Linked DNA regions of Astyanax mexicanus. The protein of the gene in region 1 interacts with the protein of each later gene in a pairwise test. Links are inferred from orthologs where the notes say so. Each region holds a gene or a part of one and is shown in the gene's direction. Other genes may lie near its edges.

What was found.
Region 2: the proteins of daxx (region 1) and tcf7l2 interact in binary tests that used the Homo sapiens proteins (3 or more experiments, as listed by UniProt). The link is inferred for Astyanax mexicanus from reciprocal best matches to the Homo sapiens genes DAXX and TCF7L2.
Region 3: the proteins of daxx (region 1) and park7 interact in binary tests that used the Homo sapiens proteins (3 or more experiments, as listed by UniProt). The link is inferred for Astyanax mexicanus from reciprocal best matches to the Homo sapiens genes DAXX and PARK7.
Region 4: the proteins of daxx (region 1) and prmt1 interact in a two-hybrid assay, tested with the Homo sapiens proteins (2 studies listed by BioGRID and IntAct). The link is inferred for Astyanax mexicanus from reciprocal best matches to the Homo sapiens genes DAXX and PRMT1.

Annotation. Positions count from the first base shown.
Region 1 is NC_064410.1:22,184,043-22,192,410, forward strand, and holds the start of daxx (death domain-associated protein 6), read left to right. Parts: upstream 1-5,221; 5' UTR 5,222-5,236; coding exon 5,237-5,243; intron 5,244-6,157; coding exon 6,158-6,369; intron 6,370-8,368. Other genes in the region: tapbp.1 (TAP binding protein (tapasin), tandem duplicate 1), read left to right, coding at 594-917, 1,057-1,158, 1,381-1,412, 1,527-1,538. UniProt on the Homo sapiens protein: Transcription corepressor known to repress transcriptional potential of several sumoylated transcription factors. Down-regulates basal and activated transcription.
Region 2 is NC_064422.1:31,931,061-31,938,832, reverse strand, and holds the start of tcf7l2 (transcription factor 7-like 2), read left to right. Parts: upstream 1-4,735; 5' UTR 4,736-5,354; coding exon 5,355-5,543; intron 5,544-5,823; coding exon 5,824-5,890; intron 5,891-6,093; coding exon 6,094-6,218; intron 6,219-7,772. UniProt on the Homo sapiens protein: Participates in the Wnt signaling pathway and modulates MYC expression by binding to its promoter in a sequence-specific manner. Acts as a repressor in the absence of CTNNB1, and as activator in its presence.
Region 3 is NC_064431.1:4,261,667-4,269,049, reverse strand, and holds the start of park7 (Parkinson disease protein 7 homolog), read left to right. Parts: upstream 1-4,067; 5' UTR 4,068-4,139; coding exon 4,140-4,229; intron 4,230-6,438; coding exon 6,439-6,540; intron 6,541-7,383. UniProt on the Homo sapiens protein: Multifunctional protein with controversial molecular function which plays an important role in cell protection against oxidative stress and cell death acting as oxidative stress sensor and redox-sensitive chaperone and protease.
Region 4 is NC_064426.1:20,248,311-20,256,326, forward strand, and holds the start of prmt1 (protein arginine N-methyltransferase 1), read left to right. Parts: upstream 1-4,953; 5' UTR 4,954-5,040; coding exon 5,041-5,109; intron 5,110-6,277; coding exon 6,278-6,373; intron 6,374-6,487; coding exon 6,488-6,643; intron 6,644-7,441; coding exon 7,442-7,505; intron 7,506-7,787; coding exon 7,788-7,930; intron 7,931-8,016. Other genes in the region: ap2a1 (AP-2 complex subunit alpha-2), read right to left, coding at 1,204-1,270. UniProt on the Homo sapiens protein: Arginine methyltransferase that methylates (mono and asymmetric dimethylation) the guanidino nitrogens of arginyl residues present in proteins such as ESR1, histone H2, H3 and H4, FMR1, ILF3, HNRNPA1, HNRNPD, NFATC2IP, SUPT5H, TAF15, EWS, HABP4, SERBP1, RBM15, FOXO1, CHTOP, MAP3K5/ASK1, MICU1 and NPRL2.

The DNA of each region.
Region 1 (8,368 bases):
CACTTTGTTTGGTGGCATCAAATGGGGCCTATAATTTAGGGGCCTCAAACCATGGTCTGGACTAGGGCGGTAAAAATATATAATTTATGCATCGTCATCGCAATGTGTGCATATGCAGAAGTCAGATCACAGGGCATCACATGTTTGTTTTTTTTGCTGCTTAATACAAAAGAAATATTTTTTCTTGCATTTTTAAAAACTGTTGGTATTTTCCACTACTTACCTACCAATATTAGGGATGCACTGAATAATTGGCAACCAAAATTAGGTTAAAGGACCTAATAATGTATAGTAAAATTTGACATATTTTTGAAAAGCAAGACAATAATACATTTATGTTTTGTAATTTATGCAGTGGTGGAAAATCGGCAAAATATCTGAAAACTGGTGTATTTCTACCAATATAATTTATTTATCATGCATAATCCAAAATTTTGATATAATAGGGATAAAATATAATAGGGTAAGATATAATAATATAGTATATATTTCTCCTTGCATAATCACAACTGAGTTGGTTGGCAGCATTGGAATACATAGAAAAACACATATAATTTAATTGAATTTCTATTATCAATCTCTTCCCTTTTCAGAGCCTCCGTCTCTTGGCATCTACCCATCCCCTCTTCCCATCTCCGCCCCTGGGCAGGTGGTGTCAGTGCACTGTGAGGCCTCTGGTTTTGCTCCTCTTTCTCTGGAGCTTGGCTGGGAGTTTACTGGAGCTGATGGTAAGAAGCGGTCCCTTGGACAGGGCAGTGTGTCGGGCCACAGGCAGGCATCTGATGGTACCTACAGCCAGAGCACTCGTATAGAGCTGGACTCCAGCAAGCTTGGGCTCGGACGTGGTGGTGAGGTCAGCTGCGTGGCCGATCACAAAGGAGGGTTTAGACGAGCTAGTGTGACACTGAATGTCGTTGGTGAGTGACAATGCCTTTTCGCTCATCATGCTGTCATTGCTGGGTAAAATTCTATGTGATAGTATTTGTCAGAAGCAAGATGTAATGACTTTGAATTTACTTACACATTTGTGAAATATTTTTTGTTGTTGTTTTTCAGGTGTTGGTGCTCCTTCCATAGAGGACTCTATGGCAATGGTTGCTGTAGCCCTTGTGCTTTATGGTGTAATAAAGGTGTTTTTCTGGACCTTCACATCTTCAGGTAAGCTACATTTTGTCTAAAAGTGCAAAGTGCAGTCCTTGCATGCATAATGTGTCCTACTAAAGAAGATTTAAATAGATGCTATACTGATAGAGGTTCAGGTAAAGTCAGTGTCTCTAAATACTTTTTTACTATTAACTGTGTTAGCATGCATTGTTTTTTCCATCCTTGGGGGTACTATTCAAAGCTAATTCTTTGTTTTTAATTCTCTACCAATGTCAGGGTCTTCCAAAGCACAAGAATCAGGGGATAAGGTAATTTCTGAGTTTTACACTACTTGATCTGTTTGATAATCATAAATATAGCACCCTTCATATAGCATGTATGACTGGCATGTATTAACTGGTTGTGTTTTTGTTTGTTTTTAGAAGGACAAGTAATCGCAGTGCTGAAAATGTCTTCCTGGATGTCTTGATTAGAACTTATGTTTATGCAGATGATGATAGAAGCCACAGTAAAAAAGTACACCATCTCTTTAAAATGATTATACTGATATTTTTGTGCTTGGTTCATGATCCAGATTGTGAATAAACACTGAGATAGTGTTGTGGTATTTTAAAATAATGGGAAAAGGTGTCTTTATGTCTTTTCTGAATTTTGTTTTATTTTATTTTTTTTGTTTCATTTAGACCTGTTTGGGTTTTATTGGTTGATGATTAATTAAGTAAATATATTGTAAGTTTTCTTTTCTTTTATCTTTTGAAATACCATGTCATGAATCCTCTGAAAATGACTGTATAAATTTTAATTTTTTTTTACCTGTTCATCGTTTATTTTAACCCCTGTTTGTTAATGTGTGTAAGAGCTGTGATGCACAAGTTGAAAATAAATGTGTGACTACTGGTGTATTCCAAGCTTCTGAAGTCTTACATGACTAAGTCATATGAAAACGAATTATTAAATGAATTATTATATGAATTATATGCACCCAGGGTAAATTTAAATAATTACTCTAAGTTTGTAGGCTTGTACCAAATGTCTCTTGTCACGTTTACTCAACTTCAGTATCAAAACATTTAAAAAAGTTTTACATCTAATATAGAACTAATTTTCAAATACATAGTATAAATAAATAAGCATGTTGCTCATCACCTAAGCAGTAATTGCTGACTTAAAATAAAATGTCCATTTTGTTTATTTGTTACTGTCCATCTTGGTTCTATTAACAATAGTGTATATAGCAGTAGTATGATGTAAGAGTTCTAGATTTTGGACACTGGATAAAAATCTTTTTAAAGATACTACAAGGACATCTATGCTGCTTGTCCCATTAAAAACACTGTGTTTGAAAGTGCAGCGGCACATTTTCAGCATTCTGTGTTAAAGCAGCTTCACACTGAACAGATATACGCACTGTAACACAGAATCTTCTCATGTGCCACGCATTTAACTTAAGAGTCTCTTAAATGGACAGTGTATACATTACTGAATACTGGACGTCACATATTTTACCCAGGCCATTTAAATGCTCATCCCCCATTGTGAGCATGTGTGTAATACCAAACACTTCCTGAGATTTTTAAACTACACAGAAATGTTTACAATAAAGTACACAAATTGGTTTTATCTCCCCTCAAACATACAAAAATATACTAGAAATTGACACCACTAATATACATATAATTGCATTTTATATTTCCTACATTCATTTCTTTATTTACATTTAAATATCCACTATAAAAATGTTATTCTTAAGAAGAACAAGTGCGATTAAAGACAGTTAATCCTGGAATATTGTTGTTATTAATCGAATTAAATTGTTTTGAAAGATTGACACCACTGAACTTAATACATAAAACTTTGATATGTTTTTTGCCATTCAGTTCACCTTCACTTTCATTTACTGAAGACTCACTCACAGGTGCCCCCTGGCGGTTTACAGTTATTTATAATTAAAACGAAGGAAACAGAAATAGGGGTGTCATATAAATATTGTCTATGATAATATCGTAATTGCTCCAGCATAACGTTATCGATTGTGCTAATTACTAGGGAAAACAATCAAAACACCTGTACTTCGCACATTTGCTATAGACTGATGCTGTCTTGTTTATTGGCATGGCTGAGCGCAGATACTAATCCAGCAAGCTACCTATCCAACTATCTGCTATTTACAACCACATTTTCTTTTTCTTCAACAGAGTCACTGTGCTAAAGACTCTCTCTCATTTCTCACACCCGATCTCTCACTCTCATAAGTACTTATTTAAAAAAGTCTGCCAGACCTAACCCACTGCACTGTTACTTTACTTTCTTCCACTCAAAAATATGGGCAAGTATAAATATTGATTTTAATTATGATTAATCATAGAATACTGTGGTGATTAATACATTTTTTTAGATGAGTTACACCACTGATATAAATATAATAAAATTTTGCCAATCAAATGCTAATTCGTTTAATTACATTTAAATACCTATAAAATGAGGGGTTCACTAAACCCCCGGAATTGAGCTGACTCCACCCTCGGCTCAAATTAGTAAAATGGGAGGGGTAGTTTGGGAGGGGTACTGGGTGATTTATGGGTTTAGAGGCAGGGCAGGAGGGTGAGCTGATTGGCTGAGCTGCAGCAGCAGTGTTCCTCTGATAGTGGTGAGACCCAGATGGAGCGGTATAATTAATTGTCTTATCTGCTTATTGTGATTGTTTGCATACCAAAGTACATGGAAACATCATCTTTGCCAATAGCACAGTTGAACCTGAGAGGGTACTGCAGACACGGAAATGGCCGCAATAAAAGCGCTTTTTTTTTTTTTAAGTTTTTAAGTTTTAAGGTTTATAAAAAAATAAGAATTACTTCAACTGAACACATTTCAGCTAGTAATAGAAAAATGGTTTACGGTTTAGTGCCTCTTTAAGGAAATTTGATAGGCCACATGGTTTACACACGTGCACTGTGTGATATTTGAAATAAAAAAGTAAATAAAAAAATGCCTTAAACATATTGTTTCCGTTCATATATTTAGTAAAGCAATTACATAATTATTATTATCCTTTAAGATGTGCAGGCTAGTACATTATATTACTTTTACAAACTCATTTTAAAAAATTGCAAAATATTGTTTAAATTACAGATCGTTAAAATTACAGAGATTATCGAGATATGTGTACTTTTGTTAACATCGGTCACCCATAGATAGGCAGCGTGCAGGCTTTCCGTAACAGGTGTAGAACAGGTGTTCTGTCGAGTTATGATACCCATCCATACGTGTTTCCTAAAGGCACTACGCACGCGCTTACCCACGCGTTTTGATTCTTTCTTGTGTTTTTTTTTTATATAACAAATCTTTTTTGTGCATTTTTTGCGCATGAAACCACTTGGACTCACTGTCATTGCACGAAAGTGTAAATGGAAATTGATAATAATAAATACTATAATTATTATTGTATTATTGAATTAATTATTATTATAAAAAAATACAAAAGAATTTTGAAATGAGCACTCACTGCCATATCTTTACCATGATACGGTGATTTATTCTAAATATACTAGCTACATCTACTGGGTAGATACTTCTGCTGGATACTTCTGCTTCTTTTGTATTTTTACGGTTAAAATATACGCTAGGGTAGCGCGGTTTGGCAAGGCGGCACAACTCGACAGAACACCGGCTCTGACTCCTCCGCTCCAGATGGGGCGACAGTGAGGAGCAAGTCCCGCTGAACGCGGAGGAAAACCGGCTGAAGAAAACTGGAGCAGCCAATCCCGTAGGAGCGGAGCGGCGCGGACCGAACCGCGGGGGCCCGTTGTTCACGAGTGCGCGCGGTGTTGCCATGATGGTTTTTAGGCGGAATTTTCTACAGGAATAAATACTGAATTAAGAACCTCCATCGGATAAAGCTGCGTGAAACGAGAACGCTCGTCAGGAAAGCAAGAAAAAAGAGCAGTGTTCAGTGGAGGGTCTGTGTTACTGCGCGGTTTCTGTAACTCCTCTAAGAGTCAGTTATTTTTGCTTGTCTGAAGGCGGGATTTGTCACAAAGACCTGGCAACCTAGCGAGTTGTTAAATACAGCAGAATCGAGCGCGTAAGTTGCCTTCTTGTTCCAGCGTGTTCACTATGAGTATAATGTGTGTTTATGGGTGGTGAGGACCGGCTGTATGGCTTTTAATATACCGTATAATATCCGCCAACAGTGTAGTTTACTGATTAGTTATCAACTAGGAGTAACGTTAAGTGTGAGGGTTTTAAACAGACAGGAGGTTAGCCTGCTAGCTAACTATCAGCTAGCTAACTACAACGAGGAAGCTAACTAGCTAATGGAGACACCAACGCCAGTTTAAACAGCTTCCTTTTACTATTTAGCGTTAACCTAGCGTTATAATAGAGACGTAGCTGAGGCAGTAAGTGCCACGTACTCATGTTTAGCCTAAATTACATGGTGAAGTTAATTGGCTGTCTCAGTTTATTCCCTATTATATAGTTTAAACTAGTTAGCGAAACTAGTTTAGCTGCGCGGGGCTCGTTCCTAGCTACCATTATTAGCTGTCTAGTTTTATAAGACTGAGTGAACCTTACTAAGTTAATTCTGTAACCTCAAAACGCCAAGAGTCACTAAGAGCACTTTTTATCGCTGTGTTCATCAAAATTCTAAAGGTGCAGTTATGTTATTTTGCCAAAATTTGGTAGTTAGTTGTTTAGTTAGCAAGGTTCGTTAACTAACTAAACTAGTTGGCTGTAGCTAGGTGTAACTTAAGTCTTTCTTGACGGAAATAACTATCAAGACTATTAATGTTAAACTTAAGGCACACCCTAGGTTAGCTAACTAGTTAAGGTATTTCGATCTTCTTAAAATCTAATATTATTAAGGGCTTGGGGTAATGACAGGAAAAACAGTAGCTCGGCCTTAAATGTGTTTCCAGCAGCATCAGAGTAAATTGTGTGTTAAGACTGAATATAAAAAGGAATGTATACTTTGTTTGAATCCAGTTCTAATGCTCCTATTTTTCTTACGCTGCTCAACAGTTTTCCTTACCTAACATGTCATTAACTGTGGTAGGTGTCACAAACACGATGGACAGCATTGTGATCCTCGATGATGATGAAGCCGAAGAACCTTCCACATCTACATTACGTCTTCAAAGGTTTCGAGGGTCCACTCCATCTAAAGACCAAGAGTTAAAGCCAACACACATCACACAGTCACCTTTCAGTACTGCAAAGAAGGAAGGCCATGTCCTGAAAGTAGAGAACGAGAAACTCTTTGGAGAGGTAGGTGTATGGGTTTAAGCTTGTTTTTTTGTTAAAGAATCAGACCTATAAATGTGAATTAGACATAAAAATGATTGCCACTGTTCAGTGAAACGAAACCAGTTTGAATAGGACTTATCAGTATTGAAGGTAATAAAATGTAATGACCTCAGAGCTGCTTTAATGGCCCATGGAATCTTTTCTTTTTTTCTCTTTTGTTATGTAGTTTAATTAACCTTTATCTACACCCTTGCTGTTTACATTTTAACTTTCTTAGTCTTTTGTACAGTTTTTTTTTTTTATCCAAAATGTTTGTTTAGTGCTCCTTTATAAAATTCTTATGATGAGGATTCAGCAATAATGCACAAAAGGGAGTGCTATAATGTGTTCTATTGGCCTGTTAGATCAGCACAGCGGTGCCAGTATTACATGTTCTAGCAAGAACGTGTATTATGCCAATTATACCACAGTTATGTTATCACTGTTTACTGAAAGACTGAGTTAGAGAGGATGAGAAAATATGATCTGTTTGGTTATAGACACTCAGAGTTAAAAGAGTTCCATTGCTGCTCTGTTTCTAGCTGTGCTGTTTGGCTTGTAAGCTCTGCATTGTTGCTAGGTTACCTGTATGTGGCGGAGTAATACATGGAGAGCCTCGGTGACAGTGCATTACCGGCTGATAATGGCACTCACAGAACACCTCTCAGCCCATCGCCAATAACATTGCAGGATCGGTGGTACTGTGGTACAATTCAATTTAGAGTATTGTAAACAACCCACACAATGTTTTTAATTTTCCTTTTTTAAATTTAATTAAAGTAATCTTTTTTGTTTTGTCTTTTAATACATTTAGAGACTCGATTAAGGATTTAAACACATTAAGTATATGTTTTAATTTGGAACAGCCTAGATATAAACAATAAAATAAATAATCAAATAAATTAAATCCATTAAATGAAAAAAATATGAGTAATAACATATGAAAATGCAATACTCTTAAGTAATAAAAATGTGCACCACAACAAAGTAACGATTGCAACAAAAAAGGCCTACTTTTTTGGGCTGCTATTAGGGGTTCTGTATGTTTTCGGTATTTATGGTGGAAAAAATAAAGAGGCTGGGCGTTCTGTATAGCCTCTCTTTTATTATGTTTGTGATAACAATGGAATTTCAATATAACCATGTTTTGTTTTTTGGGATGGAATGTTGTAACGGGTCTTGAGCACTTTTATTAAATGCTTGAAACCATGGTTCTCTCCTACTGTCATCAAGAGAGGCTCCAACTTTTGGATCTTGTTGGAACAAAAACAGCGTTACTTTAACTGCCTAAACTACAAATATTTTTCCTAAAGATGTTACTATAGAGAAAGAGAGATGGAGGAACCCCACAAATGAGAATGAGACAGATAACTAGTGGTTCAGAGACAGAGTGAGAGAGAGACAGTACGAGCCCCTGACCCTGCGTTCACACTGGAAAGCAACAGGCGACCATTCATTTCCTATGGCGGGGCATAATTTCAGCACAGCAATGGGTGCAACATTCCTGTGAACATTAGTTCCTTCTGTAGACTTTCTGCCTGTATCATGCAGTCTGCATGCGTTTATGCAAAATGAACTGTGACCCCGTACCATGATGGTTTACCGGGCTTAAACGGCAAAAGCTGTAGGGTAATTTACCACAGCATGACTTGGATAAAACTCGGATGTGAGAAATCCAAGAGCATGAAACCATGACAATTGAGTCCATGAAGTTTAGAATTTTAAATATTAAAGTTTACTGGAAAAATGATTTTAGCATTACAGATATAAAAAAGGAACATAAATGAATAGATACATTAGAAATTAGTAAAAGTACATCAAAAAGTCAACATATGGGCGTTGAGTGGTCCAGCGTTCTAAAGGCTCCCACTATGAGCAGGAGGTTGCCGGTTCAAACCCTCGCTCATGCAGCTTTGCTATCAAGCTGCCGGCGCTCAAAAGGGAGCAAAAATTGGTCCTGCTTCCTCTGGGTGGGTAGATG
Region 2 (7,772 bases), on another chromosome or scaffold:
GTGTCATTATTGTCAGTAATCCAGGATGGATCATATATGTTTTAATATAATTTCCCAATGACGTAATACAATTATTGGAATTTAAATGTATTAATAGTATACAGATATTTTATTCCAATGCATTATTATTATTATTATTATTATTATTATTATTATTATTATTATTATTATTATTATTGAGAGAGATAGAGATAGAGGCAGCTGGATGTTGTGTGTGTAACTGAAAAATAACCCTGAGGTTGCAGGTTCATCCTGTGTGTAATGTAGGGTTGGTGTGATAGCAGACTTTTCGCTGTCTGTGTGACTTGGCTGCAGTATTCCATATGACCACAGAGAATAAGGGCCATGAATACACACAGACACACACACACAGACATTGACACACACTCACCGTTAAGATGCAGCAGCTCAGGTGCTACATGTTTATACTGCTACTGGCCAAACGCCCCCTGATTAATGACCATCACATCCATGTCTGAAAAAGCATGCTGTTTGTTTTGGAAAACAGAGGCAGCTTTCCTGCTCTCCTTCATACATTTCCCACCATACACTGTTCTGGACACAGCAGGGGCGAGGCACGTAGGCTTGGCCGGACCGAATGTCTAGAGAGGTAGAGTGCCCTGGATGTAACCTCAGAATGTCAATTTACACTTTAGACATGATGCAAGGCTGTGCCACCTCGTTAAGTTTAATTCTATCAATTTCTAATGCATTTGTTTCCTGAAGAATGTTTATTATGTACATATGTAAAGAAAAACTGTGGAAATTTCAATTTATATATGATAATCAAACCTCTTTTCTCTAGACAGGCTGTATTTTTCTGTATTTTTAAGTCTCATATGCTTAAAAGAAAAAAACATGTATTTCCAATTTTGTCTACTTTTTGAAATCATTTGAATCTGACCACTGTTTTTACATTGTATAAAATTGTATAATGAATGAACCAATATAAATTCTTTAAATAACACGGAATATTTTTTTTACATAGATTTTTTTTCTTTCTCCTGTAAGGTTGCTGGTAGAGAGATATGATGATACATAGACTGAAGGCTTAACAGTGTGTTTAAAATCTTTGTAACATTATTTACATACTGAACTCTAAATCGGATTAGTTTGACATAGCCTTAAGAAAGAAATGGATGCTAGGAAAGCATATTGTTTTTCATTTTTAACTTTAACTTTCTTTCTGTTAAATATATTTATATGAAGGAAGCCATCAGAACTGCCATATTGTCTGTAATCTAGTCAAAATAACAAATGAACAGAATGGTAATTACATGATTTCAAAGTGGTTCTGAAATTAGCTTGCTTCTGGTTTGTATTTGCTTTTAAAACACATCATAAAAGGAATTTTGCATAACCACATAAAGCTAAACTGATTTGCTCTATTACTGTCCCCCACACACCCAATGTAACAAGCTATTAGGAGAACATTACTGTAGATATGCAGGGCATTAGTCGCCAGATATAATTTATCTGAACCCTTCTGGGGCAGAATGCTAAAATGCTTAGTGGAGCCTCTTTCACAATAGGGAAATTTGCAATTGACTACATGCGAAAAGGTTAAATGCCAAGTTCCACTTGTGAAAGCCAGAAAACTTTATACTGTTTTATTCATCTGGCTTAAAGGGTATCTGGCATAAATCAGGCTGGTGTTGCTATTAAACAGCCTTCTAAAATGCACATATTGTTACTATGAAAACAAGCGGGAAGACCATTAACAGCACCCATAATGTGCTAATTAAGAACAGAACTTTTTCAGGCAGTATGGGAAGGTGCAGGCATTGTGGGTAATTAACTGTTTGCATACTGGCTTGATTTATGCTGCTCTCCTGCAATACCCACTCCAGCGACCAGGGCTCAGCAGGTGCCATCCCAGTTTTCTGAGCAGTGTGTGTGGGGACATTCGGACAGCTGTGCTAAAATCAAAGTCTGAGTGGCCAGTCTTTTTGCCTGGGGTCGAACAGAAAAATTAAGATTTTAATTTCAAGTGCTGGCTGGACCAGTGCTAAGAACATATTCCAGACAGAAAGGCATCCAGATAAAGCTTAACAGAGGTCTAACCTGGGAGATGGCCACGGGTTTAGATTCAGCCCAACTGAAAGCAAAAGGTTTGGCTTCACAAGGCTGACACTACGCACCCAATCTGAGTGAACTCTCAGTAACCTGTGGAGGCAATCCAGGCAGATGCTGGCTAGGAGCTCCACTGCTTTGGTCTGGTATCTGCAGGCTCCAGATTTCTGAGCTAAAAAGCAAGAGAGCATCTTTCTGCTGCTGCTGACTGTACACATTGAGCACTGAGCCTTATCTGTCCATTCTGGCTCAGGCTTTTATCACAGCTGAAGGTGCATAATTAAAACAAGAAAAACGAAGCATGCTGCTTCAGTAAACAAGCAAGAGAAGTGTCATGTGTGTGTGTGTGTGTGTGTGTGTTTTGTTTACTTATGATACTTATGATATATGCAATTACTGTGTCACAATTATGTGACTAATTCCTGTCACATCAAAGCCATATATATCTTTCTCTCTCTCTCTATTTTTAGATTGTATTTTTTTGTTCTGTATTATTTTTACTTAATTGCTTATTTTTACCTCATATAAAATGTGATAATTTGGAATCGAATATTATTATATTCCAATATGCGTAGGATTTATACAAGTTTAGGGTTGTTTCCTTAGGGATGTTTCCTTGTTTCTTATAACAATGGTAAAATACTTGATACTGTATATATATATATATATATATATATATATATATATATATATATATATAGATATTTATTTATTTATTTGTGTGTCTATACTTGCATACATAACCTAGTTTTATTTGTTAATACAATCTAAAATCCCATACTTTTTATTGTATCAAAATTAAAGGTGTTACGTATTTATATAAGCAATCACAATACAAATACATACAACAATGTACTGTGTATATATAACAGTGTTGATGTAACACCTATATAATATCACATGCATTGTGCGGCACAATTGTTCTGCTCCTGTAGGCGTAATTGCTGTGTATATACAGGCTGTTATAGCATATTGCTGTGGATCTGGAAGAGCGTTGGCTGGTACAGGGTAATTACTCCATAGAGCAATCCAAAGGGCAGAAATGGAAATGATACACTGCTCCAAATTAAGTGGGAGTTAAACCTGTCTTTGTGGCCCTCTAATGCCCATATGACTGCTATTGTTTGTGTAGATGAGTCCAGTGTTGCTTTCGAGCAAACTGGACACAGGTTCTCCGAGTAGGAGGTGCTGACTGTATTACATAAAAGATAAATGTTCTGTTTGAGTGAATTATATTTGCAAAATACAATAAGGATTGGGTCAACAAGCAATAGGGCAGAGCGAGCATGCAACAAATATGGAATCGGCAAAGATTAAAAATGACAATGATTTTAAATAATATTTGCAAATAGTGTTGTGTTGGTTCTAATTAATTTGTGGCTTAGATGTCGATGTATTATGTAATTTAAACATATTTTATTTTGTATAAGTGCTTAGAATCATTTACTGTCTAGTAGGGTTGGGCGATATTGTAAAAACAAAATAATCTTGATATTTTTCGAATATATGCGCACCATTTAAATTGATGGCCAAGCCATTGTATCCTTTACATTTTATTTATTTATTTTACAAATAGTAAGTAACCCCCTTCAATCTTACATACAGCTTTTATTTTAAACATGGTGAAAACATAACATCCTTTTATTTTAGTTAAGAACAAGTGTAAATTATGTAACATTTTACATGTTTCGGACTGAAGCAAATGTTTATGTACTATGATTCCATGTAGCAGCTTATATATTTTAAGATGTACAATTTCCATTATCCTTTTTTGAAAATCACATTAATACAGTAATTCAATTAATCAAATTTGTTAGATATTCTATGGATATAGACATTCTATAGACATTCTATGGATATTTTCTACAGTATGTAACAGAGACAAATAAAGAAAAAAACAGAACAACTGCATTTATATATGATTTATATTTACATACTTTTTAAAACACATTTTTGGCAAGAAAAAAAGCAATTTTGCTGGGCACAGAGAATCCAGACCCTTATTCTTTTATTCATCCTGAATGCAGGTAGCCCTCATTAGTCTATCTGGACACTGCCGGCCCCTTCTCTTTCCACACGCTCAGTATAGAACAGGAGCACACACGCACTAGCCTCTATGCCTTTACCTGCATCACCCCTTCAGAAACCTGCTGTTTTTATACTTATAAAAAAAACATTTACATATAACAAAATAGGAATTCAATTTGAATGATCTAAATTAAAACGATTTTGTGGATATAAATTGTTAGAAACTAAAACTGTTTATTGAATCCTTTAATTGATTGAGCTTGATTTTGTTTTTTTGGTATTTTGTTTCATATATAAAAAAAATAAAAATATATTAGCTATAATGGTATCGTTTTAATTAAATAAATGAATATAACCGTGTGCAAATTCATTTCATTGTTTTGCATTATTAAAATCAGGAGTTCCCAGTTTTTTTTTTATTCCTAAAACGGAATAATAAAAAAACAAGGAAGCGAATTTAATTTAATTCCTTTGTATGAGGAGTCCGCCCGTGTGTGTGTGTGTGAGAGTAAGTAAGTGCGTGTGTGTGTGTTTTAGAAACTGGCTGAGTGTGTATTTATTATCTATCAGTCTTTTTCTTTCTCTCTCGCTCTCTCTTTTTCTGTGCAGCTTCCGCCTGCTCCGCCATTCCAGCACTAAAGCAAACAGGGCGACTCTCCTAAACTCTGCTGCTCTTCACCAAAGCTGCCTTTTCCTTCCCTGCTTTTCAAACTAAAGCCTCTCTCTCTTTCTCGCTCTCTCTCTCTCGACTGCTCGTTTCCTCAAGCCCTTTTTTTCTCTCTCGCTCTCTCCCTCTCTCTCCCACACTCTCTCTCTCTCTCTCTCTCTCTCTCCCTCCAATACTTTCCTGCCCCTCTCTATTTATGAAAACGTCACTTCAAGTCCCTCCCTGTTTGAATCTCATTAGTTTCTTGTGTGTTTCTCCCTGTCAATAATCCCGAATCCAGACTCTCTCTATTTCCATCCCTCTCTATCTGTCAATCAGCGCCGCCTTTGAACTGAAAACCACTCCGACCAACTTCAACTCACTCAATCCGAGCGCCTCGGCTCCATCTCCGGCTTCTTTTCCTGCCAAGATCCCCCCTCTTCTTCTTCTTTTTTTGAGTTTTTCTACTAGCCGCCAGAGCTCGGGAAACGCCAGGGCAGACCCCCTGAAAACTACTCCTTAAAAAAAGAGACTCTGGGATTCGGGATCGCGGAGATCAAGGCTTTAAAAACTTTGCGTTTTTCGCCCCCCAAAATTGCTCGGGAAAATGCCGCAGCTGAACGGCGGTGGAGGGGACGATCTGGGCGCGAACGATGAAATGATTTCGTTCAAAGACGAAGGAGAGCAGGAGGAAAAGATCTCGGAGAACTCTTCTGCAGAAAGGGATTTAGCAGACGTCAAGTCTTCTCTTGTGAACGAGTCGGAGACGAACCAGAACAGCTCCTCGGACTCGGAGGTAAGCGGGTAAAAAGTGGAGTAGTGGAGGATCCGAGCGGAGCTCCATATTTTTACTATTATTCCTCCACACACTTCTGCTAGTTCTGCTGCTAATGTTGTTGTTAATGTTAACTTAACTGTTAACCTAGCAACCGTTGTTGTGTGTGTTTTTGGTGGCGGCTAGCTAGTTAAAGCTAAGCCGCGTAGGTAACGTTAGTTAGCTAACTTTACTAACTAATAAAGTCGCTTTTCCCAGCGTGTTTCTAAAGCGCTGTCCCTGTGTTTGGTTGCATTTGAAGGCGGAAAGACGGCCTCCGCCTAGGTCGGAAACTTTCAGAGACAAAACACGAGAAAGTTTAGAGGAGGGTGAGTGAGTCTGCTCTTTTCTCCGCTCTAACTACACAAATAATACACCACACTTCTTTACTCTCTTTTAGCCTCTGTGTTTCATAACACGAGAACCTATCTCGTAGCCTTACTGTGAAAAGTACAAACACACAAAGAGAGACGGAAAGTTTATTTGAAGGTGCCTAAAAGAAAGTTTTCTTCTTTTCCCCCCGCCATGTTAGCTGCGAAAAGGCAAGATGGAGGGCTGTTCAAGAGCCCCCCGTACCCGGGCTATCCATTTATAATGATCCCCGATCTAACGAGCCCCTACCTCCCCAACGGATCACTCTCTCCGACGGCACGCACAGTAAGTGGCTTTATTTCTGTACCCCGTTTCTGTACACACACGTGGACACTCGCAGTCACAGTCACACACACTCGCTCCCACCCCGCACTACTGACACGCCGCGGGCCCGCGGTAAGGCGAGCCGGGCTGCTGGAGCTCAGAGCGGGAGGAGCGAGCCGGGCTGCTGGAGCAGCACAAGTTTGGGAAGTTGTCGCTGAGGTTAGCGGTGCTGCTCCCGCTGTAGGGCATGGCGCTGTACACACTCACTCACTCATCATACACACTCTTATACACACACACACACCGCCTGCTCCACAAACTACAAATAAAAATACAACAATCAGAAACACACACTTTTATTCCTGAACCGCTGCCCGACACGCTAAACACGCACGATGTAAATAATAATAATAAAAATAATAATAATAATAATAATAATAAAACAGAAATACTAGAAATAATAATAATAATAATAATAATAAAAATAATAAACAATAATATACAAATCGGTCACATTTAAATGTGATCATAATGTTGCTGATATTTAAATGATTGTTTTTTTACATTCTAAATTATTATTGTTTATATAAATGCAAAATAATAATTTGTATACATTCTTGCTACTTTTTTTTAAACAAAATGATTTATATGAAAAAAACACAAACATTTTTTTGTATGCATCTATATACAAATATATACATATACATAATGGCAACATGATGGTCAGCATGAGATGAGCACATTGAGCTGTTAAATGGTAATTAGGAGCCTTCAGCTCAGTGAATCTGAGACTGCATTACATTATATCCCCCAAACCGTAACATGTGAAATATTCAGTAGCACTTTTAAGGAACCGTTTACATATTTTTAAGCAAGTAAATATTTGCATAAAATATGCACGCCTCATAAAACATTAATGTTTGTATTGACAGCAATTTTGCAAGACATGATTGACCTTTTTATGATCAAAGAAACCTACTAATACACATGCATATTTAGAATGTGGCATACGTCTGCAAAAATGCACCTGTTTTATTTATTGATAATGTAACTATTTACTTATTTAGTTTATTTTACTTTGTTTTTGCTTTTTTATTTTTTTTTAAATATTAGCATCGTTAATATAATTATGCATGTCTACACTTTTTCCCAGTGCATTCCCCTGTTCCCAGAGGATATTAGTGGTGCTTTAACGGGGTAATTTTCTTAATACACTGCTGATATTTTTATTAATCACTTTAATGCCAAAGCAATGCTGTAAGACCTGTTCGTCTCTTGTTTCAAGCTTTAGACAAATTGCAGACGAAACAAAACTGGCTATATGCCTCATCACTGCACAGGAATATTTAATATCAAATAAAATTTTTAAACTGCATGCAGATATAATAATTAAAATAATTGCATAATTTACATGGGACTAAAAAAGTGTGTTGCTAGAATGTAGGTTAAAAACAGTGTAAATGCATGTTTGCATGTGTGGCAATTTAAAAGCAGTCTGTTGTGCGTAATAGTGAGACACAGGATCATTGATTCACTGCTGTGTGACTGCGCTGAATGTCTATCAGTGCATGGCCA
Region 3 (7,383 bases), on another chromosome or scaffold:
TTCACTACTGTGTACTTAAGTACTAAAATGCTGTATCTGTAACTACTGGAGTATTATTTTTGCTTCACTACTGTACTTAATTACTAAAATGATGTATCTGTATCTACTGGAGTATTATTTTTACTTCACTACTGTGTACTTAAGTACTAGAATGCTGTATCTGTATCTACTGGAGTATTATTTTTACTTCACTACTGTACTTAAGTACTTAAATACTGTATCTGTATCTACTGGAGTATTATTTTTACTTCACTACTGTACTTAAGTACTAAAATTATGTATCTGTATCTACATAGCTGAGCGAATCAAGCCATGATCTTATAAGCTGCTGTCTGTCTGCAATATGATATTTAAACATTTGACTTTCTGTAATAACTACATAACACATTACTGTACTTTCACATTCAGTACTACAGTACTATTCGTACATTTTAGAATACTTTAGTACAAAAAAATATACTTTCTACAGTATACTTAAAGGTACTTCCACTTAGTTGTGGTTGCTTAAAGAGCTCTTTAACTTCTTTGATCGAACACTTTTTTTACTCAGATCTGGGTCTTTACTATTGTATACATGTCTGCTTTGAGGCACCACTTTAGCATTGTGCTAACTACATGTGCAACAGTAACAATACAAGCTTTCACCACACTGTATATCAGGGTCAATATCAATATAATGTGCCTTTTTTATCTTAGCATAATTGTTTAAATTTCATACAAACACTGTGTAACACTACCTTTTTCAGAATTTAAAACTTTGACTCTGAATGATTGATAGATAGATAGATAGATAGATAGATAGATAGATAGATAGATAGATAGATAGATAGATAGATAGATAGATAGATAGATAGATAGATAGATAGATAGATAGATAGATAGATACTTTATTGATCCCGAAGGAAATTTAGCAGCCAGTAGCAGTTACACAACACAGTCGAAACAAACAGTACACAGTAGAAACAAACAATAAGTATTATAAAATAAAATAAAAGAGCACAGTGAGGAATATAAGACTCTAAACTATAAAATTATAAACTGAGACTTAAAAATATATACATAAATATATAAATACAAAAAAACTATACAAAGTGTGAAAGTAATCAGTCATAGATATGAGGTAGTGCAGTAAAATAATAATTTAAGTATAGAAGGTATCAGCAGATATGACAATATTAAACATAAACCTGTGCAAGTATTGAATTTAAGTAAGGTGCGTAGTGTAGTGTCCAGGAGTGCAAAAGTACAGGATGTACAGTAAAGTGACAAAGTGTCCAGGGGTGCAAATGTACAAGATGTACAGTAAAGTGTCCAGGAGTGAAAAGGTACAGAGTGTACAGTAAAGTGCCAAGTGTCCAGGGATGCAAATGAACAGCACATGAGCACATTATTACAAATATAGAGGAATGGTAATCTCCACATAATCAGAAGTTATTTATATATTTTCTACAGTTTTTGATACAATTTTATATATGTAGGATTTTGCCATCTCCACAGGGCAGCCAGGTCATGAACATATTTTTTAAGTATGTTTTTGTATAGTGAATCTGATTGTGGTTGGATGAGAAGTATAAACATGTACCATTCCAAAACCCTGTTGGTTTTAGCAGGTATCCAATCAGAAGTCATATTTTTGTATCGAGACAACACCAGTAGGAGGAAGTTGTGAAATTGGTAAAATACATACTGTACTAAATACAGGTAGGCCTCACTAGTAAAAAAAAAAAACCTGAAACTCATTTCAGATGCTCACTACTGTCTCTGCTTGGCCTTGGAAAGTGCCTGTGCATCATAACCAGCGCCGCAGCAGCCAAGACAAAGTTGAGTGTACGTGGTGGATGCATCTGCTGTGGCTAATTCCACGCCGCCGTCCTGCGCAGATGGTTCAGCGGGTGAATTTGCATCGTCAGTGTTTCGCAGCCTAATCCGGGGCCTTCACAGGTTACCTGGTTTACAAGCAACTTTAATAGGCGTTTTGCATACTATAAGCTCCTTATATAAAGGCAGGGTGGGGTGGAGGGGGCAGAAATAAATAAATAAAGCCTATGTTTAGGGAAATGAGCTGATGTGGAGCGGCGCGGTGGGCTCGCAGAGATCCCAGCTGCATATGCTGGTAAATCGCTGCTGCCTGCTGGATTTGGGCACGGGCACAGTGTGAGCAGGCCGCTGCCAGAACCCCACGCTTCGGTCTAATCTGCTGCTGTATAGCACTGTGGTCTGGTGCCTATATGGGCGACTGAGCATCTGTCTGTCTGTGTGTGTGTGTGTGTGTGTGTGAAGCGTGCAGAGCCATGCTAAACATGGGAAAGGTGCCTCTACAATTTTACAGAGAGAAGGAGTGAGGAAGTTTCTTTTTGAACATTCAGAAATACTGGATGAATATTATATATATTTTTTTATTTATATGATTGAGTGCTAATTGTGTCTAAATTTACTGTTTTTGTGATGTTGCATGTATCGGCATATTCGGTATAAAGCACTATAGGTATCCGATATACACATTCACACTAAGAAAAATAAGTACAGATTTGCACTTAAAAGCTTGTCGATGGGGCTGTACCTTATATTAAAGGAGAACTCCAGTGTAAAATTGACTTTAGGTGTAGTAAAACATGATAAACCACCACCGCTCTCCTACAGCTTTCTGAGCGCTGGTAATTTTGTGCTTTTCCCCAGCACTCTAATCTTTACTGGTATAAAAAAAACATGTACAAAAAAGACCTCACTGAAAGATACTCTATTGTACTTTAAAGGAGAACTCCCACTGCCCACCACCGCTCTCCTACAGCTTCCTACAGTTTCCAGCACTCTGTACAAGAGCCGTATCGGGGCATATTTCGGCTCTATACCTCCTTGGTAGAATCCGGAAAGCCCTAACATTTAAAATGTGGCATTAATAATTAAAAAGTGCACAAGAAGCAGCTCAGAGTGCTGCCATCACTGTAGTATATATATATATATATACATTCATAGCCTGCCTCCTGGAACCGGCTGCTACGCTATGCAGAGTATATGTATATATATGTCTGTCATTATCAGTACAGTGATGGCAGCGCTCGGAGCTGAAGCTAGCATTATGCGATGTATACAGTGTTTTTTTGGGCTTCTTGTGCACTTTTTTCAACTTTTCAAGGTATTAATGCCTTATTTTAAATGTCAAGGCTCTCCAAGGATCTAAAAATAATTAGAAGAAGTTCATAAGAATTTCATCATAATGTGATTTACTGATTGATTTAAATCTTAAAGTTAACTAAACAGTAAGCCTACAGTTCATAAACCACAGTTTTAAATACTGCCAATTCATTTAGAACTGATTTGAAAGCAGGACCTGTTTTATATCATAGCCTGCACTGCACTCTGGTGGTCAGATTTTTGGTGGTCTGGTGGTCGGAAATAAACCACAGGACTCATCTTCCCTGTATTAAAAGAGAAATAATATATATATGTTACAACCTTTAAATTAACCTATAATAATAATAATAATAATAATAATAATAATAATAATAATAATAATAATAATAATAATAATAATAATAATAATAATTAAGAAAGCACTCGTCAAATAAAAAAAAAGCAAAATAATTTCTTAAAATGTTCTAGTGACTTGAAAAAAAATGGCGAAATTATGTATAGAGTAAACTGAATCTGAAATGTCTCCATTCAAGTTGCCATATGATAAATTATGTCATTATACGTCAAATTAGGTATATCAGTCATTTTAATCGACAACCAACTACGGATGTCAGACCAAAATAGCTTACTATAATAACATTTAACAAATAAATGTATAGATTCTGTCTCTCCAGAGCAAAAAGTACAGGAGCCCGTCTGAATTTTGAATCTTTTATATATAAGGTCATTAACAGGGTTATTGTACTGCTGTTACAATTTTATAGTTTTTTTTTTAACGTTGGGAGTATTAGGACATGATAAATATTGTTTAAAACCCGTATTAACTAGCATTTGTATAGTAGAATATTGGGCCTAATTTCTACTATTAACCTCAAACATCTGAGGGACTTTTGTCTTGCCCATGTGTTTTTCCATTCTCCCGGAAGACAGGACTTTTATTTTGTTTAGAGAAGCTTCAGCCCACTTCTTTGCTCTGTTCTCTGTAGGGGAGACTGCTCTGCTGAAGCATGGCTGCTAAACGGGCTCTGGTGATTCTGTCGAAGGGCGCAGAGGAGATGGAGACGGTTATACCTGTAGATGTGATGCGGAGAGCTGGGGTTAGTAGAAGCTTAGCTTAGCTTAGCTTAGCTTAGCTGTCAGGGCTGTCTAATAGCACTGGGTGCTAACACAAGTGGGGAATAGCCACTGCAAGAATATTTAAACTGATTATTTAAGTGCAATATAAGTGAATAAGCTTTAATAAAAATATTTGGATTGTGTCAAAAGTGATAAACATAAATAAAGGCTTTGTATAGGATTTTTTCCCGTTCCACCTTAAATGGTGAAGCGGTTACGTTCACCATTTAACCCAGAACGTAACACCATTTAAGGTGGAACGGAACATTTCCACAAACCAAAATACTCTGTGAAGCATTTGGCTGGACTATTTATTATTAAGGTAGCTGTTAACTTGCAGTTTCTCAGGCTGGTAACTCTGATTAACTCTTGCTATTCCTTTCCTGGGATGGTCCTGATGAGTGCCACTTCCATCATCATAACATTTTTAATAGTCTTTGCAACGACTGCACTTGAGGATATTTTCTTGAGAATAAGTTCTTGAAATATTTCAAATTGACTTACCTTCATTTCTTCTTGAAGCCATTTTTAAGCAAGTCTTTTCTTAGTTGAGTAGTTCCTGCTTCTCATAATATGAATTAGAACATTACTTAAACAGCTGTTAACTTTACTTAAAAGCCTAAATTCCAGGTGACTCTATCTCATAAACCTGACTGTGCAAAGCTGTGCCCACATCAAATGTTCCACCTTTTTTAAAAGAGTGGACGGCATGGCATAGCAATAATAATCATTGACTAACCAATTCTGGCTTTGTGATTGGCTTCAGTCTAAAATGATTGACATGTCCTCTGCCCTTTGCTTACGCCCACTGGCTCTCTGGCCTGCACCAGAGGTGTTCAGTCAATGCAACTGCATGAGATTTCATAGTAACAGAACAAGGAATCGTCTGTTCCTGTGATGCACATAATATTTTCTTTTTCCATTGCGATGCATTGTTACACCCCTGTTATTTGAAGACCTAGCTGGTCAACCTGAATGCCAACATGAAGCCCAAGTATGTCCATAAGAAATCAAATAGTGCTTACTGCATAGACAATGCTGTTTAACCAATTTGCTTACCATAATAGAGTGTATTTTAGACTGGATCAACCGTATTTCAACCATTTTGACCATCAAATGCCAGCATAGACCATCTTAACCTAGATACTAGAAGAAAGACAAGCGTGTGTCCAATATAAAATGTATCAGGTCACAAAAACAGACCCATGTCTGTCAGTTTCTGGCTCACAGACTGACTGTATGTACTCTGGACAGTTGGCAGAGTGTGGAAGAGGAGTGGAGTGTAGCTAAATGTCAAAGTTTGCTGCTGCTGCTGTCATGGTGAGATAGGCTTTCATTTACAGTGCAACTTAGCCTCCTTCATTAAACTACATATAAATAAGCATGAAGGGCTCTTCAGGGTATTAATCAAGGATATTAACAGTCTTTGACACAAACTTTTCTGCAGTTCCATGCATCCAGAAAGGCTTTGCACTTGACACTCAGTGTTTACTTTAATTTTACTGTATTATTTAAGTATCAAAGACAATACACATTAATTGGCTAATTGTCATTTGCAGTCCATGGGCAGATAGATATTATATAAGAGGATCAGTCTCACAAAGCACTTGCGTTCAACACAATTTAAAATTACAAATAGGCCGGTCACGATAAGAATTCACAGAAATTATTGCGCTACACGATATTTTTGTAATTTTAAGACTATTAAATGCCCCTGACATAACAGAATAGCATAAAAAAAGCAATTATACACTTTTTAAAGACAACACAATTTGAATTAATCATTTAATACAGGGGTGTCCAAACTTTTTTTGTTGGGGGCCAGAAGGAGAAATATATGTGAAGTCACAGGCCACAGACTCTGTAATAAAACAAATAATGAAATATACCACTTTAAATAATAAATTTTCCTGATTACTTTCATTTACACACCATTTTACTTGACTTACTATCTTTATCTATCTTTGACAGTGTTGTGTAAACTAAGATTTTTCAAATTGTTCTTTCATTTCATGATGTCTCTTAATATTAAACTCCTTAATTACGGCAACTTTTAGACCCTTTTGCCCTTTTTCTGCGCTACAACTGTGCACTCTCTGAAGTCACGGTTATTGAGGCATGACAAAATACTGTTCACTGTTATATATATATAAATATGTTTATGCTTCTACCTCTTTTACTGTCTCACAGATTGCTGTTACAGTGGCAGGATTAACAGGGAAGGAACCAGTCCAGTGCAGCCGGGACGTCCTTATCTGCCCAGATTCAAGTCTAGAGGAAGCCTCTAAACAGGTACGAATTTCTTAAATTCCATTGTAATCCATTGTACTGTACTCTGGACAGTATTGCATTTACTAATGATAATGTTTGAGATTTTCAAATGGAATTTCACTCTTTTTAATACCTCTATATAAGTGGATCACATAGCTGTAAACAAAAAATTAACTTGCAGTGGTTTAATGTGAAATGACGATTCAAAATGATCAGAAGCATTTATAAGGGTAACTAGTGGTGGGTGATATGGTCCTAAAATAATATCGCGATATTTCATGGTATTTTCACGATAACGATACTCCTGGTGATATAACAAAACACTGCGTTAAAAAAAATAAAATGTTTCAAGAATACACCACTGAAACAAAATTAAAAAATTATTGTATTAATGCATATGCTATGGCACACCCCTAACTGAGATTTAAACTGAGAATTTTATCAAATATGTAACAGAACACAATGATCCAGAATGTTAATGTACTAAAAATGCACTCCAAATATATCTCCATATATCCAGGACTAAAGTAAAATAAATTATACTGGACAGATATAATCTGTTTCTTGTAGATATATAATGTTAAAAGAGAACAGTTATTTATTTCTTTATTTTTTTTGATAAAACAGCAAAAAGTAGTACCATGATGTGATAATTAGGGGTGAGTGATATGGTGCGATATTTCAGGGTATACTATCATTCACAATGTTCAAAAATGTTGGCGATATTATCGTGTATGATACGATATGGCACACCCCTAAGGGTAACGAGGTAAATCTGAATAAGACATAAGAATTTTAATCTGTGTAGGGTCTTATTGGCTCTATATACATTTGTAAAATAATATTTAATTTAATTTCAAGCAG
Region 4 (8,016 bases), on another chromosome or scaffold:
AGTGACTGGCTGACTGACTTCTTTGGGCATGGCTTCTTTAGGCAAAGACAGATTACTAACAGATTGTGAGCTTGCTACGTGTAACTTCTAGGTCTGAAGCAAAAACTGGTGTTTGTCTAGAGGCCTAGCTGACTAGCTACATAACATTACCCCTGCAAAGTGTGGAAGATAATTTTCAGGATGTAACTTTCTAGCTAGCTTGTTTGCCTATTCCACACCAAGCAGGGCATTCAAATATCATATCAAGCACGTCCAAAGCAGTGTAGGTAGAACTCTCGTGGAGCAATGACCCCTTGTTACACGCTCATCCCAAAATCAGATCAGGGTTAAACCTAAACCATTACGCTAAATTAAAACACTATGAAACTTCATAATAACGCATGGCTACTTTTGGATTATAAACAGCTTATGAAGTTGCTATGTTTGTATCCTGCCTCCAAAAGAAGCCTACGTGCCTCTGCAAACTGTGGAGGATCATTTCCAGGATGTACTCCACACTGAGCAGGGCCTTTCATGTCATATCAGACAACATATCAAGAACATCCATTGCAATGTTGGTGGAACCCACATGAAGCGACCCCCCCCCCCCCCCCTTACCTGCCCATCCCACAAGAGAGACTTGGGTTAGACAAGACCCGGTCTCCACTACAAGACTGACTGACTGACCTCTTTAGGCTTGGCTTATTTAGGCAAAGACAAATTAATAACAGATGCTACGTGTAACTGTTGGATCTCTAGAGGAATCTGGGGTTTATCGTAGAGGCCTAACTACGTTACCTACATGTCTCTGCAAACTGTGGAAGATCATTTCCAGGATGTAGCTAGCTAGTTAGCCTAATCCACAGTGAGCAGGGCCTTCAAATATCATATATCATATCAAGCACATCCAAAGCAGTGTAACCTGAGTGGACGCACACTAAATCAACGACCTCTCCTTAGCTAGGTTAACTCGTTAGCTTTCCAGATAGCTACTTTAGACTTAACTAGCTCACCTAGATAGCGCTAGCTAGTTAGCTAGCTTATCTACACATCCTACAAGGGAGACCCGCGTTGGACCAAAACCAGCTCCCTAACCTTCACCATTAGCTAACTATTTAACAGCTGTAAATTATCCTTATGCTTCGTTTTTTTTAAGCATAAACACCCTCTATATTAGCTATAGGCCTATAAACAGTCACTCTTAATAGTATAAATGGCACTTACAGTTTCTTATGTCCGATATGAAGACCGCTAATCCTCGCATTCCGTCTCCTTTCGACACAGCCGGCATCTTTGCAGGATTTTGTTGTTTCTTCTCACCTTACACGAAAAATAAACCACTTTTTGTCGACCTACGACGGTTTAGCTCACCTCGCTTTCCACAAAATACGCTCGTTTCGTAGCACAGCACCACTGAGCTACCTAACTAGCTAGAGCTATGTTAGCCGAGAAGCTAGCTAAAGCTAACGTTAACTAACCCGTACTCTGGCGCTTTTGATGGATGTTTAATGTGCTAGAGAGTTAGCCACCTAGCTAACGATAGCTGCTAACACAGTTGTGTGAAAGCTGAAATAACCAGACCTGAAAGTCAAAGTGTCTACAACCTATCTCTCTTTCTGCCTGTGTGCTTCTTTATTCAAAATATGTATCTGTCAATTCATAAGCGAGAAACCCGCTGCGCTCCGACCGCCGCCGTTTAAATTCATTCAAACCCAACAGTCCAAAATTTAACTACTGGCCCAAACGACGACAGGACTGAGTCACTTGGTGTGTAAAACCAAATTTACAGCGGGTCGTTTTCCTATAACACACTGTAGATGAGTGGATGTCCTACACAACATAAACAGCCACCGGGAGAGGGAGGAAAGCGATTAAAAAATAAAATATTTGATCTCCTTTCTGCTCGCTGTGAGTCACGGCACGGCGAGCTAGCGGACCAGCTAGCTGGCAGGCTAGCGCTATCAAACGTTAGAATACATCACCCGGAATGACCAGCGCGGTCGGAGACGGTCAAACCTAACGTTTTTTTCGGCGAACAATCTTATATTTAGCTGGAAAAACACAAATATGTAGTCTAGAATTCGGTTCGAGGTCGTCGGTTTCGTGCCTGCCGCGCCAGGTCGGTGTTCACGGACGAGGCTCGTGACAGAACGAACGAATAGCGATGTCCGACTCGGGAAAGAATCGGTTCATTTGCAAATAAATCCATTGAACCGAATCAGAGTGAATTAATCCTTACTGTGGCAGCCTATATAATGTTTACTTTAGTGTTCAAAACTAAGTTATCATTATGTTAGAAGTATATTTATACTTTTATTTAGTTTCTTGCACTCAGTGATACTCGTAGGTTCCAGAACCACGATTCTCATCAAGAAGAAGAGACGAAGATGCATGATAAATAAATAAAGACAATATTATATTGTGTTGTTGTTGTTATTCATTGCATGCATAAGGAAATTAAATACATGTTGTCTGCTCCCTGGTTTATTAATCGTGCACAGCATGCACTAGAAAAAAACACTGTGTTTTTTTCCACACAGTAAAATTGTGGTAAAAAAATGTGTGTTGTATATGATGCAATTTGTTTAAAACTATTAAAATCTACATGTAATTGCATTACTTAATTATTTTATGTTTATAACGTGTACTTTTTAAATATCTGCAACTTCTCAGTTTTTTTATTTTATTTTATTTTATTATTATTTAGATTATCTATTATTTTATTATTTATTAATACATTATTTGCAATCTTATTTTATCTATGTGTACGAATATCGTTTTATGATTCATGCAGCTGTATTTTGATTTTTGCCACAATGTAAACAAAAAAAGCAAGCTAATAATTGCGGGACCTCTCCCACCCTAAAAACGAGAATGAGTCACTGAATCGGGCAATTCGAAAGAATCGGTTCGGTAAACTGAATCAAAGTTCGTCTACACTCCAGCAGTATCAGTAGTAAAGGATTCTAGTGCTTCCTCTCGAGAAGCTCCGCCCCCCTGCTACCACAGCACACGCTGATTGGCTGGTAATAGTTTGTAATGCCGTTATGAAAACATTAATAGCTCGTTTAAATTGAATCTGGATCAGTAAAACTTGCTTTGTTTCTACATTAAATATATTTATTTTATATATGATATAATCAAATAGTCTAGCGGAAAATAAGCGTATTTGAGTTATTTGATATGGTTCAAATGAAAGGAACCATCTCTAAGAGCTCATTTACAGAAAGTTAACGGATTTTGGTATGCTGTCTGATGTCTGACACACTGGTTTACCACAGTTTTGATCATAGATTTGTCAATATTATATAAAAAAAATAGATTTTTAGCATGTTATCCTTGAACATCTGTTTTTCTGGCTCTCTGGGAACATTAACCTCAGTGTACTGCACACTGCAATAAACCATCCTGACGTACTGTGCCACCACACCGTGGACTTTATTATGGAAGATTAATGTCACTTGCTATGAAGTATCATAAATATGATCATTACGCAATACCCACTGCCCTGTGTGGAAAGTCAATTGCTCCCTTTGCTGTATACTTTACACCATCCTCAACACCAATCATTGCAACTACACTCTATCTGACATCATTGATCAGCTTTTTACTCTGCGATGGAGGGAGATAGCTGCTTATTTCAGGCCCTGTCACAGTAACTGCAATGCAGTGCTGTCATTTTACAACAATATCAAATCAATATCAATAGCACAATAAAATATTTAATGCAGTATTACAGTAGAAACACAAACAACCATTTTTAGTAACTGAGTAACTGTCTCTATTGTCCAGGGATGGCTTATTCTATTGGCAAAACTTTTCTACAGGGACTAGATAAGCTGTGTGTGTACTTTTCTCTTTTTGTTCCAGCAATGGGTGCAACTTAAAGTAATTGAATGCATTAATTAGAGAAGATGTTTACAAAAAGTGAATACGTAGTTTTGTGAGTTTTGTAAGTTAAAAAGCACTTATATACATGTCAGTGATAAACGTTATATGCTGCTACTGCCTGTGTAAAAAACGATGAATCATCTAACAATTAGGAATTTACACAAAAGGAATATTTCTTTTTAGATTTACTCAAGAGCGCCCTCTAGCGTTTTCCAAGGGTGCGTCCCAATTGCGAACTGCATAATAATAATATAGGTATGTACTATATACTGGTCCTAATAGTGTGAGTTTTGCAGGTTAGCACACAAAAATATTAATAAATAAACCCGTTTTTACTGGCAGTGAAGTCATAAGGCACTTTTTAAAAATAATTTATGTTTTTCCTTTTTTGGCAGATTTTTTAGTATACTCAACTTTTATCTATACTACACACTAAATACCCCAAAACTAGTTACTACTAGTAGGTACGCAATTGGAACACAACTCATGTCTTACTGGCCAGAATGGACACAAATATTAGGGAAAGTATTATTTGCCTTTTTTTTGTTCATTCTAATCAAAATTATACAATTTTTTTTATCAAATGATAAGCAATAATTACAACCCATGACTAGATCAAAACATTTGAAAAGAATTCATATTAATTGATTGATAGTGAAATTAAGTTTACATACAAAATAAGTTCATCTGGCATGATTATGTCAGACATAGTACTGCTGCTACTGTATGATATTGAATGTATAAACTGACTGTATCTATTATTAATATCCTTCCAAAAAACAAGGCACGTTCAAATGAGAATAAAAGCTATCGGGGGTGGGGCAACATGAAAGCTGTCCAATCACAACTCTTCAGTGGATTTAAAACCTGGACTGGTCAGGATTTACATGAAAAGCGAAAATACTGCAGGAACTGGGGCTGGAATCGCAAACAATCCCGAATCACGGCGTTGATGGCTTCACACTGAGCCAATAGCGACAGGGTTTATCAGAAAGGGCGTTACAATGGGTGGGGTCACGTTACAGCGGCCCAATTACCGATATGATGACTGGATTTAGAGCCAATGGGGACTGGATTTAGAGGAAAAGGCGTAGTTTGGGAGGTACTTCATCGCAGCAGTCCAATCAGAGAGCCGGAGTATGTGGGCGGGAGTCTAAAGGGGAGCGTTTAATGTTCCGCGCTGCAGCTGCGAGTCCAAAACTTGTCGGCGAAATGGCGGAGACGACGGACAGGATGGAGGTGAGCTGGAGCCGCGTAACAAAGACGGGCAGGGGGAGACCGCGGTTCATGTGGGAGAAATCCCAGCGCGCTTAGGGGCCGTGTTTGTTCGGTAGAGGCTGTGTGGCGGAGCCGCTGACCCGCTTATTTCGCTAATTAGCTCGTTGCGTAGTGACCTGAGCTCTCGGTAATGTGCGTATAGGAGCATCCATTTTAGCAGCACATCGCTCCCCATTCATTTCCACTAACACGTGGTTGCTAATCTGCTAACACACAGTACCGCCGTGGGGTTATGGCGTCTGTTAAACATTCCGTTTGTTTTATCTACTGCTCCGTTTGTATTTATTAATGAATCACTATTCTGTCTATAGTTATTTAGCTAGGTTAGCTGTGCTGCTAATAGAGAACGCATGGGATTGGCTAGCTGGGTATCTACCTAGGTTAGCATGTTAGCCAACTTAGCTAGTTAGCTTAGATCGGGTAGCTAACGCCGCCGCCTCGTTGTTTCTACATGTGTTAACCAAAGTGATATTAGAAGTTGGAGCTTTTTTTGGTTAGTTTTGAAGTAGTAAAGCTTATCTACTGAGATTTAGCCACTGACCATAACTAGTAACCTTTTTTAGCTATAGAAGCTAAAGGTGGCCTCTCGCGAATTCCCCGGTCCACCTTAAATGGCACCGCAGCTGCTACAGATGGAGCTAGCGGCGCCAGAATGTAACTTCTGTACTTTTTAAGGTGGAACTGAGAATTTAAATTTTAAGGACATATTTTTTATCTACATGGCCTTACCCCTTTACTGTAAAAGGTACAAAAATGATTTCTTAGGATCGTTTCCCTTTCAGAGGCTCGAGTACAGTACGGTTTATTGTAGGACCAGGCCTCATTTATTTTACATACCACGTGTGCTGGTCTGTTAGTGATAAAAGCCTTTGTCTGCCCCCCTTTTTCCTGTGAACTTCTCCAGTCCGCCACCCATTGTGGGGTGTTAAATTTAAGAATTTAAGTGTGTTTTTTTTTTTTTTTTTAAGTTTTGATTCCATTTAAAATTATTTTGGGGGCCTTAAGTGTTCTTTTATGTTCTTTTTATCTTGCGAAATTCCACAAAAACACAATTTACTTAAAACTCCAGGCTGAAACTCTTTTGGCTTTTGTTTTAAATGTAGTATTTATTTAATCCTTTGTTCTCCAGGTGTCCCAGGGAGAGAGCTCAGAGAAGCCTGCGGCTGAAGACATGACGTCCAAGGACTACTACTTTGATTCCTATGCTCACTTTGGCATCCACGAGGTTGGTACTCTTGTTGTTATACCCCTGTATTCAATACTGTACAGTATTTAATAGTTTAGACTTAATTTCCTACCTTACGACCTGTTTTCTAATGCTTTTATTTGGTGTTTACAGGAGATGCTTAAAGATGAAGTGCGAACTCTCACATACAGAAACTCCATGTTTCACAACAAGCATCTGTTCAAAGATAAGGTGGTGTTGGATGTGGGCAGTGGAACTGGCATCCTGTGTATGTTTGCAGCTAAGGCTGGTGCCAAGAAGGTTATTGGGGTAAGTAGACATTCTTGTTGTGCAAGTCAATAATGTAACATAATTAGAAGTGTGTCTAAAGGAACCTGTAAGTAACTGTGCTGTGTGGTTTGACCAAATATGTATACAAAAGTATACACAATATACAAAAGTCCCACCTCATTAACAGAAAATGTGCATGCACACCATAGTCTTTAAAGAGATACACAAACAACTTTTAACCCTGCTTCCATTACAAAACTAAACTTTAGTTTTATACACTATAAATGGACTAAAAATACTCAATTTTGAAGTATTTAAAACATTGATTTTTTTTAAAAGCTCTTGCATGAGTAAGATAAGTTTAAGTTAAAATGTTTTTATTGAAGCCATTGGAGGTGTTACAGTATTGAAATCAGCCACAGTTCCCTCCTTGCTCCAGTTAAACAAATTAAGTCCAGTGTATTAAAATGAACGTTTAAGCCATAATATATTTAAGAGCTATAGGGTTTTCCTTGTGTCCTGAGTTTTAGGGAGTTTAATGACCCCACACTCAGGACCAAATCTGGGCTCGTCTGGGGAACGAGAAGCATGTTTGTACGAGCACATTGTATTAAATTCCTCTCTGGTATACTGTATGAACCTGTATGCTGCCCAACACTAATATAACAGTTACCTTTGAGTGTCTGCATTGAAAACCAGTTTTAAACACATGTAATGTTTGAGCCTGGTTTATTGGGACACAAATCCGCTGCTTGTGTGAAATCAACTTTCACTGCTGTTTCTGTTAAAGTTACTAAATGGACAAGTTGTGTTCTAACATTTGTGTCTATTTTCTAGATTGAGTGCAGCAGCATATCTGACTACGCTGTGAAGATTGTCAAGGCCAATAAGCTAGATCATAGTAAGTGTATTTCTATTTTGGTGGTTCTGCATATGTCATATAAGAGACAGTAAAAAAATTGTTACTGATTGCTCTGTTAGTGCAGTTTACCAGGCCAGCATGTCAGTTTTAAATTAGTTCATAGTGTTCATATTTTACACAAACTACAAGGTGTGTAATTGAACCAAGGGCAGGACGTGTTTTTTTTTTTTTTTTTTTTTAAGGATTTCATTATAGATGTCTGCTTTAGATACACAAAGTTGCGGTGACTGTTTGATTCTCATGAATGTGTTCTCTGTTCAGTTGTGACCATTATCAAGGGCAAGGTGGAGGAGGTGGAGCTTCCAGTGGAGCATGTAGACATCATTATCTCTGAGTGGATGGGCTACTGTCTCTTCTACGAGTCCATGCTCAACACTGTGATCTATGCCAGAGACAAGTGGCTGGTAAGCGTTCAAAAACCCGCTTCACAATCTTTGTGTATGTGTAGGATATTTTGGGTGTATTTGTGCAGGAAGCTAAATTAAGTGTT